4 linked regions of the Coturnix japonica genome follow. The protein of the gene in region 3 purifies or fractionates together with the protein of the main gene of each other region. This does not show direct contact. Links are inferred from orthologs where the notes say so. Each region holds a gene or a part of one and is shown on either strand. Other genes may lie near its edges.

Region 1 (3,994 bases), on a different chromosome or scaffold from region 3:
TTGCACAAAGAAAATCTAAATACATTCTGGGCCCTTTCAGAAATGAACAAAAACCACTGAAAATCTACTCATCCCTTCTATGTGCCGAACATGAGCCATAGTGAGGGCCAGGGGAATCCTTTGTCCTTAGTATTAGCAGCCAAGTCGTAATGTATGTGCATTAGCAAGACTGCACGAAACCTTAACATTGTTATATCCTAACTTTTGGATGCTCGACTTCATAATGTTAACAATCTTCCATTAGCGTGGCTGGTGTTACTTATCACCATTGTAATGTTTTCCCTTTTAAGGTTTCTCCTCATCAGTGGGAGAGGGAGACATTCCTGCCCTGCACTTTATCAAACTGAATCTTGTGTTGTTCTTCCCTGCACAATCTAGTAATTTTTTCTCTATTTCCCATCACTTCACATCTTCGGTTTGAAAATCTAATTAAGATGTTGCTTAACATCATTAATGATCGTTAACAAGGAAGTAAGTAAATCCAGAGCCAAGGCTGAACTCAGAACACCAATTTAGATACCGCTTCTACTCTGTATACTGTCAATTTTGGTCCATCATTTGCAGTTTGGGCTTTTGATAGCATTGATTATGCCCTAACTAATAAGGTGTTATGCTTGAGCAACTCAAAAAGCAAAACAAAACAAAAACTAAGTTACCTGTGCTCTCTTCCTTTGAAGTTCTTCCTAACACGTCTATATTCTTTCAATTCCACCCAACCTCAATTCTTAACTGTAAAGCACTATGTCAGAGGTCCTCAGCACATGTCACAACCACTCCTCTCACCTGCTTGCCTTTAGTGCTACCATTCCTCTTCTAATGATCAAGAATAAAGTGAGCGATGGACAGGCAGCAGCTGGCTCAAAATAGAACACATCTGACTCAAAGCAAAGAAGTCAGCTTGCTTAATCCCCTTTCAGCCCTGCATGGTACACTGCACAGCCTCTTTTTCTTTTCCCCTGCTCTTTTATATTATCACATTGGCTCACTAACAGTAAGTTACCATCAGCTGTACTTGCAAGGGCTACTAAGAAGAAAGTGAAACAAAGCGACCACAAAGAAATCATGACTAGCCCTTGTCAGGTACTGAAGGTCTTGCTTTTTGAGGTACCACAATCCTCCCATTTTAGTAGTACAGGTGACTTCCTATCTGGGGGATGTTAAAAGGTGTTCTGTATCTTATCATTGAAAGAACATGGACAGTTACGGTGCCAACCATATATTGCCAAAGATTTGAGGGGAAAAAAAAATGGCTCTGTTCTTATTGCCAATCCTCAATTAGACCAAAGCCGGTGACTTTATATATGGATACCTATTTCACAGTAGAATTTTTTATACTTACTCCTACTACCACTTTGTTTTCCTAAATAGTAAGTGTATTTGTTAACAGGACTGTTGGGACCATACAGGGGGGAAAAAAAAGGTGAATTAGTACTAGCAATGCTTGGTGTTGGTTTAGGCATTAGATTATTCTCTTCATAGATAACAAACGGATTCTCTAGCTGGCCACAGAATTCCCCACACTATAACCCTAATTTAGGCAAAGTAGCTTTGGCAGAATGAGGAGTCAAAAATTCAGTGGCCTGAATCTTTTCTGGTCAGTCAGACACAGAAAGCAGAACTTGAGCACTACATAGAACAGAGTTTATAGTGTTACCGAAAGACTTCATTCTGAACTGAAAACCAGATTTGCTGAAATGCACCCTGAGCAGTGGAAATTTCAACTGTGAATCTTGTACATGTCAAAACTGTAAGCACGCTTCCCCATCATTTACTTACATAGATCCATAATATGGTTTCTGCAGATGGCACAGTTATCAACCACAATGTCCCACGCCCACAGAGCTACTGCATTCCACTAGAGTGAGGGGGGAAAAAAGAGAAACATAAATTTTATTCAACATATAACACATGGAAATCCTCATTATTCCTCAAGATCCTCTTTCTTTCTGAAATGATAAGGTTAGGATATTAAAAGACACACACCTTACAGCACCAGAGTAATTCTTTCTCAGATACCTCTCACACTCAGTGCCTCCTTCCAGTCTCAGAAACAATTGATACTAGTCCCACTCTCTTTTTTTTGCCATACAAATGCAAACATCTGCATTTCAATTCATAATCTGGAGGCAAGAATGCATCTCACGCCACATCCTCAGTTTGGAACTTCTCTTGTTTGTAGCTGTTTTCCCAGTAATCATCCCTCAGAGCAGCTGGGGCCAACAACCAGAATCACCTCTAACTTTGCCCCTCAGCGACTCCTGAATCATTTTCATTGCAAAAAATATACAATATCAAAAGTGCTCCCACAAAGTGCTCCTAACCACCTCCGGGCCTCGTTGAAGTGAACTTGGGATCTTTCACCACCATTCAGCTCGCAGCCACACTGGAGAGGGTAGGTCAAAGAGGGATATTATGGTTGTTAGGCCAAAGAGGGATATTATGGTTGTTTGGGGGAAGCAAAGCAAACCGGGATGACAAGACAGCATTTGTTGGTCACCTACGAGTTGATTTGTGAAGAATACAAAAAGAAGCAGCCACACAAATGCGTGCAAAGCTCCCTTCACATCACGTAGGGCCACTAAGACAACTGAGCCAAAGCAGCCGGGACTGAGGAGGCAACAGCAGCGCACCGACTCGCCCCTAAGCCCGGCATTACCCTCGGCTCTGGGCGGCGGGGCCCAGCCAGAACTAGCCCCGCCTCGCCTCTCTCCCTCCTCCTCCCCGCGTGGTCGCGCCCTCTGATTGGCCAACCTCCGTTCCACGCGCGGAGACCCGTCTCACCCATTGGCCCCGACACACGCCAATAGACTCCGCAAGCACCGCCCCCCCCTCCCCTCATACGGCGGTGCCGGTGCGGAAGCAACGCCCGGCTCCGTGAGGGGGCGCGGAAAGCGGCTCAGCGCCCCGACCCGCTCGCGGCCACCTGGCCGCTCCCGACCTCCCTCCTCCCGCTGGGACCGGCCGGGTAGAGCGCGCCACGCCAGCAGGTCTCACTTTCTTCACTTCGAAGCGCTTCTTGCCGGCGCCGCTGTTGGTGCCGCTGGGGGTGTCCACATCCATCGCAGCCGCCATTTTGGATGCGTGAATAGGCCGTTCCGCTCTGTGCGCATGCGCGGCGGAAGGGGCCGCAGGGAGGTGTGAGCGGAAGGTGTAGGCGGGGCTTCCGCCAGGGCCTGCCCTTACCCCCCCCCCCCCCCCCCCACACACACCCCTCCGTCCCCGGCAGAGCCTTTTTAAGGGAGGAGGTTGCCTTGCTCTTCAGCCCTTGCTCCCTTCCCAGCCCCTCAGGTGGGCTGAGCTGAGCTGCATATCCTTTGTACCATATCAGCCTCAGTGCTACCCCAGTGGTGTGGGATGTCTCTGGGGCGCTCAGGATGCACTCAGGAATGAAAATGTTCTGAAAGAAAGCAGGAATTCATGTGCTCCGAAACACTTTTTAGAGCAATACTTTATTGTACAGAGGTTATAAAAATGAAGTGCATTTTATAACTCCTTAAAGAACTGTAGGGCTGGCTGGCTGCCCTCCATTGCTGATGCCACTAAAAGTAATTGATTTGGCTAAGTTTGCCTTTGCTGTTGTGAGTGTCCAGACAGACAGCATCACAAATGGTACCTCATTTACCGTCTTTCCACATTGCCACAAAACTTCTCAGAGTTCATGAATATCATGGAACTTCAATACTCTGTAGCATCCCCAGCTGATCTGGAGTGCTCAGAGAAAATTTGAATTCTAAGAACAGAGCCAGAGGGGTAGATTAAGCAATATATCCCATAGTTTTTTGGCCCAGATCATGGTTGGTTTCTGCATGAACCCAATCCCTCTGCCTCTGTGTGTTTTCTAGATGATGGTCACATTATATTCCCATGTAGTGCCATTGTTTTTTCAATCTGTTACTAAAACCTCAGGTGAGAAATGAAGCCTCCCGCTCCCCATAATCTGACTAAGATGAACAGATGAGATTCAGAGAGAGGAACGAGTTGCAGCATTTCATGG
Region 2 (4,040 bases), on a different chromosome or scaffold from region 3:
ACTTCAAAGAACACCAGCTGTAGTTCCCCTAACACCGCCTGAACCACAGAGACCTTTGTACAAGTGACAGTTTGCATCTCGGGCTAAAACAGGAACGTGGTCAGACCTCAACCACGGGAAGGGAAGTCCTGGGGGGTGGGGGGGTGTCCGGCCCAGAGCACAGGAGCTGAGCGGAGGCCTCGTGGCAGCTGCAGCTCATAGGGAGCAGATGGGCAGCGCTGAGCTCAGCTCGGTGTGACAGCGACAGGGCCCGAGGGAACGGCATGGAGCTGTGCTGGGGAGGGGGCACCGACAGGGTGTGACACACGGGGACAAGGCAGAGAAGTGTAAAAGGCAAAGAACATTCAGCACGGAATTCTGCAGGGGGTGAGCTCAGTAACACGCTCAGAGCAGCCAGGTAGTTCTGTGTGTGCGTTCAGCACTCTGGCTGCCATCTGCTCTGCCTTGGGCACTTTGTTTTCCTCAGGCAGCTCTGCCCGCAGCCATTCACTCGGTGTAAGTGCAGGCTCCACACGGTGGGACAGCGCTGCTGCGGGCACGGCTGCTCCGCGCTGCCCCTGCATTGCCCCGTGCCGACCACATCCACGCTGCGATGAATGAAGCTCGGCACGACCCCGCGCCGCAGCTGGGCCCCACGCCCTGACCCGGGTGGAGCAGCGCGCAGCCCGGAGCCACCTGCCCCCATTACAAAGTCACCTGCATGTCCAGCCCGCACGACACGAGGCTGCGCGGCCTCTGCGGCCGGAAGGCGACGGAGGAGCAGATGTTGTGGTGCCGCAGGGAGCGGATCACTTTGTTGCCGTCCAGATCCACCACCTTGACGGCCCCGGAATCGTCCGCCGCGGCCAGGAGGGTCCCGTCGTGGCTGCTGGCCAGGCAGTCGATCTCGTCCTCGTTGAAGCGGAGCCGCTCCACGGGCTCCCGCGGCGCCCGCACGTCCAGCACCGCCACGGCCGGGCCGTGCGCGGCGTACAGGAGGTGCGGGCGGCGCGGGGAGAACGACAGCGCCGCCACGTCGTGCTCGGCGGGGTTGAGGCGCAGCAGCCCCGCGGACACGCCGTCCCGGCCCCACAGCGCCAGCTCGCCGCGCTCGGCCCCCGAGGCCACGGGCCCGTCGGTGCCGGCGGCGATGCAGAGCACGGAGCCGCAGTGCGCGCCGTGCCACCGGGCCGCCATGATGGCCGGCAGCGCGGGGACGCCGCTCTCGGGGCGGACGCCGGCTCGGCGCATGCGCGGCGGGCGGCTCGGGGCGGGCGGTGATGGCGGCGCGCGCCCCCTCGCCTTGAGGCCTCGGCCGGGCGGGCGGAGCGCTGGGCACCGACCCGCCGCTACCGGCACCGCCCGCTGACGGGAAGGGAAGAAGGGAAGGAAGGGCAGGAAGGGCCGCTCGGCTCCCGCGGCGCCGCCCCCCCACTGCCCCCCGGTCCAACCCCCTGCGCGGGGGGCGATGGCGGCGGGGCCCGGCGGCGGGGCGGCGGGGGGAGCGGGGTGGCGGCTGCCGGGCCGGGTGCTGGAGCTGGTGTTCTCGTACCTGGAGCTGCGCGAGCTGCGGAGCTGCGCGCTGGTGTGCAAGCTGTGGCACCACGTCCTGCACGGCGACGAGAACAGCGAGGTGTGGCGCAGCCTGGCCGCGCGCTGCCTGGCCGAGGAGGCGCTGCGCACCGACATCCTCTGCAACGTGCCCACATACAAGGGCAAGGTGAGCGCCAAGCCCGAACCCCCCGCGCGGCCGCGACGCCCCCCGCGGCCTGACCCCCCTGTTGGCTCCCCCCGCCTTAGGTCCGTGCCTTCCACCACGCCTTCAGCACCAACGACTGCTCCCGGAACGTGTACATCAAGAAGAACGGCTTCACTCTGCACCGCAACCCCATCGCCCAGAGCACCGACGGCGCCAGGACCAAGATCGGCTTCAGCGAGGGCCGGCACGCCTGGGAGGTGTGGTGGGAAGGGCCGCTGGGCACCGTGGCCGTCATCGGCATCGCCACGAAGCGGGCGGCCATGCAGTGCCAGGGCTACGTGGCCCTGCTGGGCAGCGACGACCAGAGCTGGGGCTGGAACCTGGTGGACAATAACTTGCTGCACAACGGGGAGGTCAACGGCAGCTTCCCGCAGTGCAACAACGCGCCCAAGTACCAGGTGAGCGGGCGGCCGGCCCTCCCTGCGCTCCCCGGTATCTTTATCTTAACAGGTATCACGGCTGTTCACACAACCCCTGTGTGGTTGGGTTGGAAGGTGCCTTACAGCAACCCTGCTCCCAATCCCTGCCGTGGGCTGGCTGCCCCCACCGGCTCAGGCTGCACAGGCCCCATCCAGCCCGGCCCTGAGCACCTCCAGGCTGCAGGAGGATGGGGCACCCACACTGCTCTGTGCATGATTCCTTTGTTTCTGCCTTCTTTCTCAAATACGTGTGGGTGTTATTAGAACACCGCATCCCCCGCTGCAACAAAAGCTGGCACTGCTCTCAGGAGCATTAAAGGGCCCAGCAGTGTCTGTTGACGGTGGGTGTTTCACCCCTGTGCTGTATGCACTGTGAGCACAGGCCGTGCTGACATAGGGCCCTCCTATGCCGTGCGCTGCTTGCTGGCTCTCTGGGCTCCTTCCCATGGGTGACATCCTTTGGCTGGGCCCTGACGTGTGGCTGATTTGGGGTTATCAAAGTACAGGTGCTGCTCCGCTGTTGTGTCTCGCAGCGAGTGTTTATCTTTGTTCTGGTTCCTGCACAGCTGCCTTTGGACTGATGGTTTTCCTCACGTTGCATCTTCAGCCGTGTTGCAGCTCAATTCCAATCTCACAGCGTCACGGTTTGGGATGAATAATGCCTTGTGCTTCAGCTGTACGTGAAGATCTTGGCATTAACTCAAGGCTGATATTTCTACATCCCATATAAAAGCTCACTGCCGAGCACTCAGCTCAGTCTGGAAATGATATCTGCCATTTTTGCTATTGAGAAGTAAATGTGGATCAAAGAGAATTGGCCCTTTCCATCCCTGCCCATTGGCAGCCCCTTCCTGCTGCCCCTGTCTGGGCCTTTCTGTGCAGCAGGATGAGGAGAGGTTTTAAAGCCAGGAGAGCTCCCATGGGGCCTGCAGGCTGAGCTGCGCTTCCTTCTTAAGAACTGGTGAGGGCTTGAATCAGCAATTTGTATTTGCTAAGATGTAGAATCACAGAGTTGTACACAGACGGTCACCTGCTCATAGGAGACACGCTGCAGGGAGACACGCACTTGTTAGCATTGGTTAGAAGCAAAATATATTGGCTGGAAGGAATCCCTGGCGCTGCGGTTGTCTGGTGGAGGAGCACAAGTTTGTGCTATCTCATGCTGCATTTGCTGCTGGTGCCTCTCCCTTCTGTTTATATTTGAAAGCAGCAAGTGCAGGATAAACATGGGGAGCATCCCATGCACCGTGCCCCAAACCTGTTGCATTTGGTGTTGGTTTTACCCACACATGTGTATCTATACTGTAGGTTTTGTGTACCCATCTTGCCAAAGATTTGCACTGAATTCTTTTTATGCCTTGCTAAGGGAGCACCGCCGTCAGCTTGTGCCATCAGAATGTGTTCTGGGGATACTCCACACCTGGCTTTTACCTTTAAAACAACTCATCTAACGTTGCTCTTTGTAGGCTCTGCTGGTCACTGCTGGCAACAGAGCCCTGGTAACTTGGGGCTATTGGAAATGTTCAGGCTCCTGCTGTGTTCTGGAGCAGAGCTCTTGCTTGTGCTGCTGCTGCAAGGTCCACTTTGATGGGCTGTGTCTGATGCTGGGAGGGTGCTTAGGCCTGGGCTGCCTGCAGGAACAGGCAGCAGATGTACGGGGTCCATACGAGAGGAATGGAGACATCTCTGTTGTGAAAGCACCGAGGAAAGCCTCGCTTTAACCTGATCTGTGTTATCCACGGATTTTGCTTTGGTTTTTGGGTTGTTTTGTTGGTGTTTCCATCTGAATATATTGACTCTTTCCTCTTTTTTTGTTTCTTCTCCCTCTTCTTCCCATCTCTGTTTCCAGATAGGCGAAAGGATTCGAGTTATCCTGGACATGG
Region 3 (3,500 bases):
ACTTGTTAAATTGGGGTGTCTGATCAGACACTGAGTGAAATACAAAACAGGCGGAGCATCCAAACTAAAGTATGCCAGTTGACTAAGGGAGGAGATTATTAACTGAAGCAAAGGCATATGGATATTAATTAAAGAACAGAAAACTAAGAGAGTCAGGAACTTTATAAAGCTGTCTTTTACCTTATTCTAAAACTCATTCTTCATTACAACCCGATCCAGTCTACCACAGCAAATAATTTATTCTTAGCTTTTTGTACGTTACAGACTTTTACTCTCTCTGCAGAGTGACTTTAGTATTGTTGGTGCGGTTCTTTATCAACATTTTAACTTACTGTATCATCATTTCTGCGGTAGAAATTCATGTCTTGGTTCAAGGAACATTGGCAGAGTTACTTGGCTGTGGCACGGTGCTGTTGTCAGAGTGCCTGTTGGTTACATTTCTCTTTTTTGAAGAATGCTGAGGTTTTTCTTTATCTGTGCCATTAATATTAATTCCTTCTCACTTTTAAAATTGTGCTTGCCTAAAAAGGCTTTTAAAAGTATAAACTGAAAAAAAAAGCAAACAAGCAGAATAATCATTCCTTTGCTAAAAGTATAACTTCTAAAGAAGGATCTTCTTTAATTGTTATAATTAGTTAATTCAGTCATTTAAGCAGGATGCTCAAAGTGCTAATTTGAACTCGGCATATTCATAAGCTTTCATGGATGGATACAATGGTCCACATAGTTTCTCGTGGCATCATTTTGCTGTTCATGACTGAAGTGCTTTTTAAATAGATTGCTAATTATATCAAATGGATCCTGGAGAGACAAGCAGAGCAAGGAAGAAATGCACTCAAGTCATTTGCAACCCTGATGAACTGTTGTGTCAAACCAGATCTTCGGTGGCTAGCGGACAAATGCTATCTAGTGTTCCAGATGAAAACTTGTAACTGATTTATAACTATCTCATTGTTTTAATGCTCTTATTTCCAACGCTAAATATAGGAGGGGTTTTTTTTGTTCCTCCAGAGTGGTCAGTGGTTCTCGAGATGCTACACTGAGAGTTTGGGACATAGAGACGGGCCAGTGTTTACATGTTCTGATGGGCCACGTAGCTGCAGTTCGATGCGTTCAGTATGACGGAAGAAGGGTTGTAAGTGGTGCATATGATTTTATGGTCAAAGTGTGGGATCCAGAGACCGAGACCTGTCTGCACACGCTGCAAGGGCATACTAACAGAGTCTATTCATTACAGGTAAGTGATTTTCATCTGCTGCTTATATGAACATGGTGTATTTTACCTTCTTTAATAAACTGCAAATCCTTGCTCCAGAATTATACAGACCATGAAAATACTGGGGCTTAGGTCATATTCCCCTTTTCCATTTTTTCATCTTCGTCGTATGTTGCTTTAATTTAGAGGCTGTGGGTTTTTTGTTTTTTTTTTGTTTTTTGTTTTTTGTTTTTTTTTTTAAAGAGTACTTTTAAAGTCCATAATACAATAAAGCCCAAATCTCTGTCCTGGCAAGTTATGTACTTTTCTAGAGCTTGGGATTGTTTGTTAGGCGTTTTTTAAATGTTGTATTGGTTTCCCCAAAAGAAGTTCTAATGTTACTATTTAAATACATTAGCTAATACAGTATTTGAAAATGTGCCAGAAACCCCATTGGATTAATGTTCTGAATTAAGCAAATCTGTTCATCCTTATTTTGTAGTCACATCCTCTAGTTCCAAACTGTAATTCATAGTAAGGATGAACCTAAAACTTAATGCCCTGACTTAAGTATTTGTTTTATTGGTTCTGAGCAAAGGCTGCATCTACAGTTCTGAGGCTTTGTCTGCAGAGACATGTTGCTGTAGATGCAGATCATTCTTGGTACCAGTGTACGGCATGGCCAGTTTACCTCTTGCCTGACTTCACCACAGTTATGCTGGCAAAGTCATACACAGACCTCATGTCAACTCTTCTTACCTTTACTATTCCAAAAGATATCTTGTTCATTCACTGAACATCATTTCCAGGCACTGAAAGGAGAACAAAATTAATGTCATGCATGTGCCTGTTCTCACTGCAGTCTGGCAGAACTCAAAAAAGAAATAAACAACAAATTCAGCTCCCAGCTGGGAAACTGCATTCAGCGTGTAACTAGTCTGGTTGGTGGCACAGAAAATGAAGCTGCAGACGTTTTTAATAAATGTTATCATCAAAAGGTGCTTTTCACCATAATAGATCAAATGGTTTTCTATTTTAAAATGTATAGCAAAATTTATCAAAAATCACCATCCCTTCTCCTTCGTTCATGGGCTGCGGAGTATTTGAGACAAGCAGCAAACAGGTTAAAAATGCTGCACCACCTACCTCATATTATGGTTTTATCTGCAGCAGTTTGAGAACAGTGCACGTTATCTTCACTGGTGGCTCTTGTTCCAGTTGGCAAATATAAGTGTCTTACTCTACTAATGGAGTAGTAGAGGGTCAAGTAATTGGGTTATGTTGATCATGCTGGTAGTATTTATAGCTTGTAAGTGGAACTTGGAGAGGCAGAAGGCTACAGGTGCTTAGAGCTTTAGGACTTTCAAGTTTGTTGAAATTGAAAGGTAAGCTCCTGCTGAAACAGCCCATGAGTAGAATAATGAGGCTGAACAGTGTGCCTGTCTTCCCCACTCCTGCCCCATTGTGAATTCTCTTACGTTTCAGTATTTCCCCATTTGCGACCCCCCCAGACAATTGTTAGAGATCTTTAATGCCACAGTTTAAGAGTACTAATCCGGTTGCCTTTTCTTAGTCACCTTTCTCAGTTGCCTTTGTCATAGTCCACAGATTGTCAGGACCCTCAGAAAACACAGTACAGCCACTGATCTGAACCACTGTCTGTTTAACTGCAGCAATATTGAAGTAGTTTGTCTTTACACTCAGCCTTAAGGCTTTCTTTCTGAATACTTTATGCAAGTAGAATACAGGTAAATGACAGGAGAGAGGAGGTTTTTTTTTTTGTGTTTTTTCTTTTTTGCATCAGTCTTTCTTTAAGTCCAGCTTAGGAAAGAAAAACATTCTGTAGTGTTCCTTGCAGCAAGTGTGCTGGCTGCTCACCATTCCTGATCCATTTATCCAAAGTCAAATTAGTTCACATGCTTTTTTGAAAGCATAGTGCAGAAAACAGGATGCAAAATTCTAGTCAAAGTCTTAGCAATGCCTGCTGTAATGGAGAAGTTACTTTATGTATATTGTGTAGCATATCCCTATTTTGGATACCAGAGTGTGTGTTTTTTTAGTGTATTTTCACTGGAACTGCAATGTATTCCAGTCAGCAGGCTGCACGTGCCAGTTGCTCTCTAAATCTTCTGAACCAAAGTGTCACTCAGCCATGACTGCAGGTAGAGATCTGAGGTGTTCTAAGATGCAAGAGGTTTTACAAAAAGAAGCAGTCGGATAGCCGGGTTCTTTCTTCTCTTGTTACTAGATACCAGCAAGCCCACATGGACAAGTAGTGCTAGTTTGCTCTGGCTATCCCAGGCTG
Region 4 (4,192 bases), on a different chromosome or scaffold from region 3:
TCAGAAAGCAACATGTTCTCAGTGATGCCACCAATCTGGCTGTCTTTGTTACCAGGCCAGCTATTCCAAAGAAAACCTGTACAGTTTATTATCTTTTGCATCCTTCATTCTCTGTACAAAGTATTTGAAATTTAGTGTGAACATATAAGCGTATAGGAGCATTGCAAAGATGACAGTTGCATAGTTTATTTGTATTTTCTGTTACACAGAAAGTTGTTTGCTATTCTGTCTATACGGATAGAGCCCTGAAAGAGGGCTGTTCCAAAAGCAGTGCCTTCTATTTTACGTTGGCCTATGATGTCAGAGGCAGATGTTGATGTCACGGCAGTAGAGGCTGAAACTTCCTACCACTATCCCGTTACATGTTGTTGCCATGCAATAGGCCGCAGCAGAGGGACAGTCTGACAACATGGCGTCTGACATGCAAGTGTGAATGGAGCAGAAGTGTGTCACTGAATTCTTCCATGTGGAAAAAATGGCACCCACTGACATCCAATGATGCTTACTGAGCAATTGCGGAGACCAAACATTGGATGTGAGCAGAGTGAGGCACTGGGTGGTATGTTAGGAGATAGTCTTTTTTGCAGACTTAAATCCAAGCTGCTTTTTACATGCAGTCTTATTTTAGTATAGATTTTCTTCACTTTATTTTCACAGGACACACTATGATCTGTACGCTTGAAGCTTTCAGCTGGGTAAAACAGCAGAAAGGGTGACAGAACAGCAGAGCTAAAATTAAAAGAGATAAAAAGTGAAAATGAAAGAAATGAATGAAAGGAGGTAACAGAATATACTTTGTAAGGGTGCCTGCTGCAGTGCTTCCTTATCCTTTACAGACAGGCAAGGCATCCTGTGGCCAGCAAAGACTATCTAAATAAATTTTGGTTACACATAAGCATTGCATGTAGGGAGCCATGCGCTAAGAAGACATTGCTCCCTGCCAGGAGCCTGACCTGCTCTTGGACACAGCACAAAGGCCGTGGGGAGCCGGTGCCGCAGTAGGTCACATCAGCGCAAGGCCTCAAGGCGGAGCAGAGATCGTAGCATAAGGGGTCAACACGGTGACAGCCCCCTAGAACCGGGCGTTCTGCACAGCGAAAGAAAAGTACTCCCCTACGTGCTCGGCAAGCATGAGGGCTCTCCTCAGGCGCCCGTGGCCCACACAGTCACAGAATCACAGAATTGTAGGGGTTGGAAGGGACCTCTAGAGATCATCGAGTCCAACCCCCCTGCCAAAGCAGGCTCCCTACACCATGTCCCACAGGTAGGCGTCCAGTCGCTCGCCTCACACCGCCCTGAGGCGGCAGCACCCCTCCGCGCTGACAACCACCGCCGGCGGCTGTGGCAGGTGCGACACCCACCCGCCCGCCCCGCTCTTCCCGGGGGCCGCGCAGGAGGCGGGGCGGCGCATGCGCTTGGCTTGGGAGAGAGGTGGGGCCCGGGCGGCTGCGCGGCCAGGGCGGAGGCGCCGAGCAGAAACTCCGGAGAGGAAGCGGCAGCCGCTGGCCTCCGCCCCCTGTCGCGGGAGGAGGAAGCGAGCGGCCGGGCCGCCGGTCCCGAGGCGTACGGTGCTGCCCGGAGCTCGGTGCGCCCGCCTGCAGGAGAGAGCGGCGGCGGCCGGCACTGCGCCCGGGCCGGAGGGGCAGCCGGGGCCCAGCGCCCCGCCGAGGGGAGCAGCGGGCGCGTTTCCGCAGCCCGGCCCCGGCCCGAGTGGATGCGCAGCCCGCGGGGCTGCGGCGGCGGTGTCAGCGGCCTCCCCATGGCCGGGCCCCGGCGGTGAAGGCGACGGGAGCCGCCTGTGCGCGCGCCGGGCCGGCGGGCAGCGCAGCCACCAGGGGGCGGGCGGGGAGGGGATGAGCGCCGCAGCCGCCGCCTCTGCGGGAGCTGCCGTCGCCTCCTGCACCGGGGCAGAGGGCGGCTTCTTCTTCCTCTCCGGCGGCTCCGCTCCTGTGGGGGCCATGGGGCCCGAGGAGGGCTCCGGCGGCGCGCTGGGAGCCCTGCCCGGAGCCCTGCCGCCGCTGCCGGGCTGCCGGGGCCGCTACCAGCTGCTGCTCTCGGGGAAGGCCCTGGCCGACAGATACCGGAAGATTTACACGGCGGCGCTGAGCGACCGGGAGCTGGGCAGCCACCCGGGCAGGTAACGCGCTCCTCCTCCCCCACCCGCGGTGTTGTAGAGGCCCTTCCCCGAGCCGTCTTGTCGCTCGCCGCCCCGTGCCATGCGGCTGCTGCTGCGGATAACGCGGCCTCGGGGTGGGGGGAGCGGCGATGCGGCCACCGGGGTGCCGTCCCCGCCCTGCCGGCCCTACCGCCCGCCCTCCGGCACGGCGCAGATGGCGCTGCCGCCCCCGAGGCCGGTGGAGCGCTCACCTGCGGCCGCCTCCCCTCCCCCTTCCTCTGGCCCGGAGCGGGAGCACGCCCAGATCGAAACGGAGCTCTACATCCCCGCTCCTGCCTTCCCCAGGAGGCATCCAGGGCAGGCCACTGTCTCCTGGATGCCCCCGTGCCCAAACGTGGAGCCGTGCCGGTTGTCCCCCACCGTCCGGTGGTTGGAGAAGCCCTTTCCACAAGGAGGCGGCTGCCTCCGCCCGCCTGTTGCTCCGCCGCGGCTCACCTAGGCCGCTACACCGCAGCGCTGCGGGATGAGACGATGCGGGGCTGCCAGGAGGGGTGTGAGGAACCGTCGCCCCCGTTATCGGTCTGCACCGCTCCGCCTTCCCCGGCCTGGAGGAGCCCGTGCCGAGCCCTTTGTGTGAGGGGGCCGAAGGGTGGCGGTTCCTTGGCATCTCTCAGTGCCCGGGTGTGCCCCATTGTTCGACTCCGAAGGGTGTTGGGGTTGTGGATGGCACGAGAACCGGCGATTCGTGCGTGAGAATCCCTGATCGGTGTCAGACCGTGATGTGGGTGGGCCTGATCGTAGGTGACACTGAGGTTGCTGTTGTTGTAAGTTGGTGATGGCTGTAAGGCACGAGGTGGTTGGCATCTCTGCATGTGTTCTGCCTTTTTTGTCCTTATTTATTTATTTATTTTTAATTTTTATTTTTTGTTTTATGTCCGAGCTGAGAAGCTGGAGTTGTTCCCTAAAGAAGGGTGTGTATAGCAGGGGTGTGGTATAAGAAACTAGAAGAATAATGTAACTTTCCCAAAGGTTGCTCTTGGCTGGTGTCACAAACGTGGGTTTACAAACGTTATCATGTGGCATCTTTGTAATTACTGAGCTCTCTACATAGTATCTGACAGGGAAACTATACTTCTTTACACACATGTATATATGCAAACATAGTATTATATACATTGTGTCTGTGTGTATGGTGTGTGTATCTCTGTAGTGTGTATGGATGTACACTATTTCCATGCATAGTACCTTGCCAGAGTTTTCTTACCTTCGTTATCCCTTCACGTCTTCTTTTCCTGCTTTTGAGCACATAATCCTGCAAGTTCTCACTGTAAGGAAGTCTATGTTGAACTTTAATCAGACATGTGATTGTTCTGTGGCATTCAGACAGAACTACCTGAATCCTTACCTTGGCACATCTGTATTGCTTAAAACTGCAGTTTTGAATTTGTTTTGTCCTCAATGGTTTCTGGTTTCATCAGAATTAAACTGGTATCTTTTCAACATAGTGTTGTAGAAAATACCAGCTTTAAATTAGCGTCATTTTCCGTGTTTCTTTTAATTGACATACTTAATGTATTTACTTTTAACTCCGGGGTATCCTATGTTGTGTTCTTGCCGAGTCTGTTTTTGATTAACAGGTTATTGTGAGGCTGGCAATAAAAATAAACAGCAACATTGAAAAGTTACTGTGTATCTTTGGTATTGAAGACCAGATTTATTCACTTGTGGCTACATTGTGTCATCATAGAGCAAATCCAAGATGCCTGAATCCTCCAAATGGGGGAAACAGATTGTCTCAAGGTCAATGACTGCTAGTTACTTTTAGGGAATACAGCCAATACCGGGTAGTAGGACTTTTAAGAGGTTTAATGCTTTATTATTAGCTAGTGCTGATGTCTCTTGATACTGACCTCCAGCATCTCTTGTACTGGATGATGGAAGCCAACATACTGCTCATAATCTCCACCCTCCTTCTGTATCAGTGTCAAAACATTCCTGTTGAAGGTTTGTGATCTTCAGCTACTTAGAAGTATTTAAAAAGAAATTTCAAAAATGCAATCTAAAATTATCGTTTAT

Evidence for each region. Proteins that work in one complex are often made in the same cells at the same time.
Region 1: the proteins of FBXW7 (region 3) and RBX1 purify together in Homo sapiens (affinity purification with western blotting; 8 studies listed by BioGRID and IntAct, with this or other methods). This does not show direct contact. The link is inferred for Coturnix japonica from reciprocal best matches to the Homo sapiens genes FBXW7 and RBX1.
Region 2: the proteins of FBXW7 (region 3) and FBXO45 purify together in Homo sapiens (affinity purification with mass spectrometry; 4 studies listed by BioGRID and IntAct, counting the BioPlex papers as one, with this or other methods). This does not show direct contact. The link is inferred for Coturnix japonica from reciprocal best matches to the Homo sapiens genes FBXW7 and FBXO45.
Region 4: the proteins of FBXW7 (region 3) and MYCBP2 purify together in Homo sapiens (affinity purification with mass spectrometry; 6 studies listed by BioGRID and IntAct, counting the BioPlex papers as one, with this or other methods). This does not show direct contact. The link is inferred for Coturnix japonica from reciprocal best matches to the Homo sapiens genes FBXW7 and MYCBP2.

The regions. Positions count from the first base shown.
Region 1 is NC_029516.1:45,482,598-45,486,591, forward strand, and holds the start of RBX1 (E3 ubiquitin-protein ligase RBX1), read right to left. Parts: upstream 2,801-3,994; 5' UTR 2,786-2,800; coding exon 2,657-2,785; intron 1,856-2,656; coding exon 1,777-1,855; intron 1-1,776. UniProt on the Homo sapiens protein: E3 ubiquitin ligase component of multiple cullin-RING-based E3 ubiquitin-protein ligase (CRLs) complexes which mediate the ubiquitination and subsequent proteasomal degradation of target proteins, including proteins involved in cell cycle progression, signal transduction, transcription and transcription-coupled nucleotide excision repair.
Region 2 is NC_029524.1:3,579,950-3,583,989, reverse strand, and holds the start of FBXO45 (F-box/SPRY domain-containing protein 1), read left to right. Parts: upstream 1-1,240; 5' UTR 1,241-1,447; coding exon 1,448-1,699; intron 1,700-1,779; coding exon 1,780-2,136; intron 2,137-4,006; coding exon 4,007-4,040. Other genes in the region: WDR53 (WD repeat-containing protein 53), read right to left, coding at 697-1,176. UniProt on the Homo sapiens protein: Component of E3 ubiquitin ligase complex consisting of FBXO45, MYCBP2 and SKP1. Functions in substrate recognition but also plays an important role in assembly of the complex.
Region 3 is NC_029519.1:29,734,121-29,737,620, reverse strand, and holds part of FBXW7 (F-box/WD repeat-containing protein 7), read left to right. Parts: intron 1-1,011; coding exon 1,012-1,237; intron 1,238-3,500. UniProt on the Homo sapiens protein: Substrate recognition component of a SCF (SKP1-CUL1-F-box protein) E3 ubiquitin-protein ligase complex which mediates the ubiquitination and subsequent proteasomal degradation of target proteins.
Region 4 is NC_029516.1:138,282,556-138,286,747, forward strand, and holds the start of MYCBP2 (E3 ubiquitin-protein ligase MYCBP2), read left to right. Parts: upstream 1-1,392; 5' UTR 1,393-1,409; coding exon 1,410-2,137; intron 2,138-4,192. UniProt on the Homo sapiens protein: Atypical E3 ubiquitin-protein ligase which specifically mediates ubiquitination of threonine and serine residues on target proteins, instead of ubiquitinating lysine residues.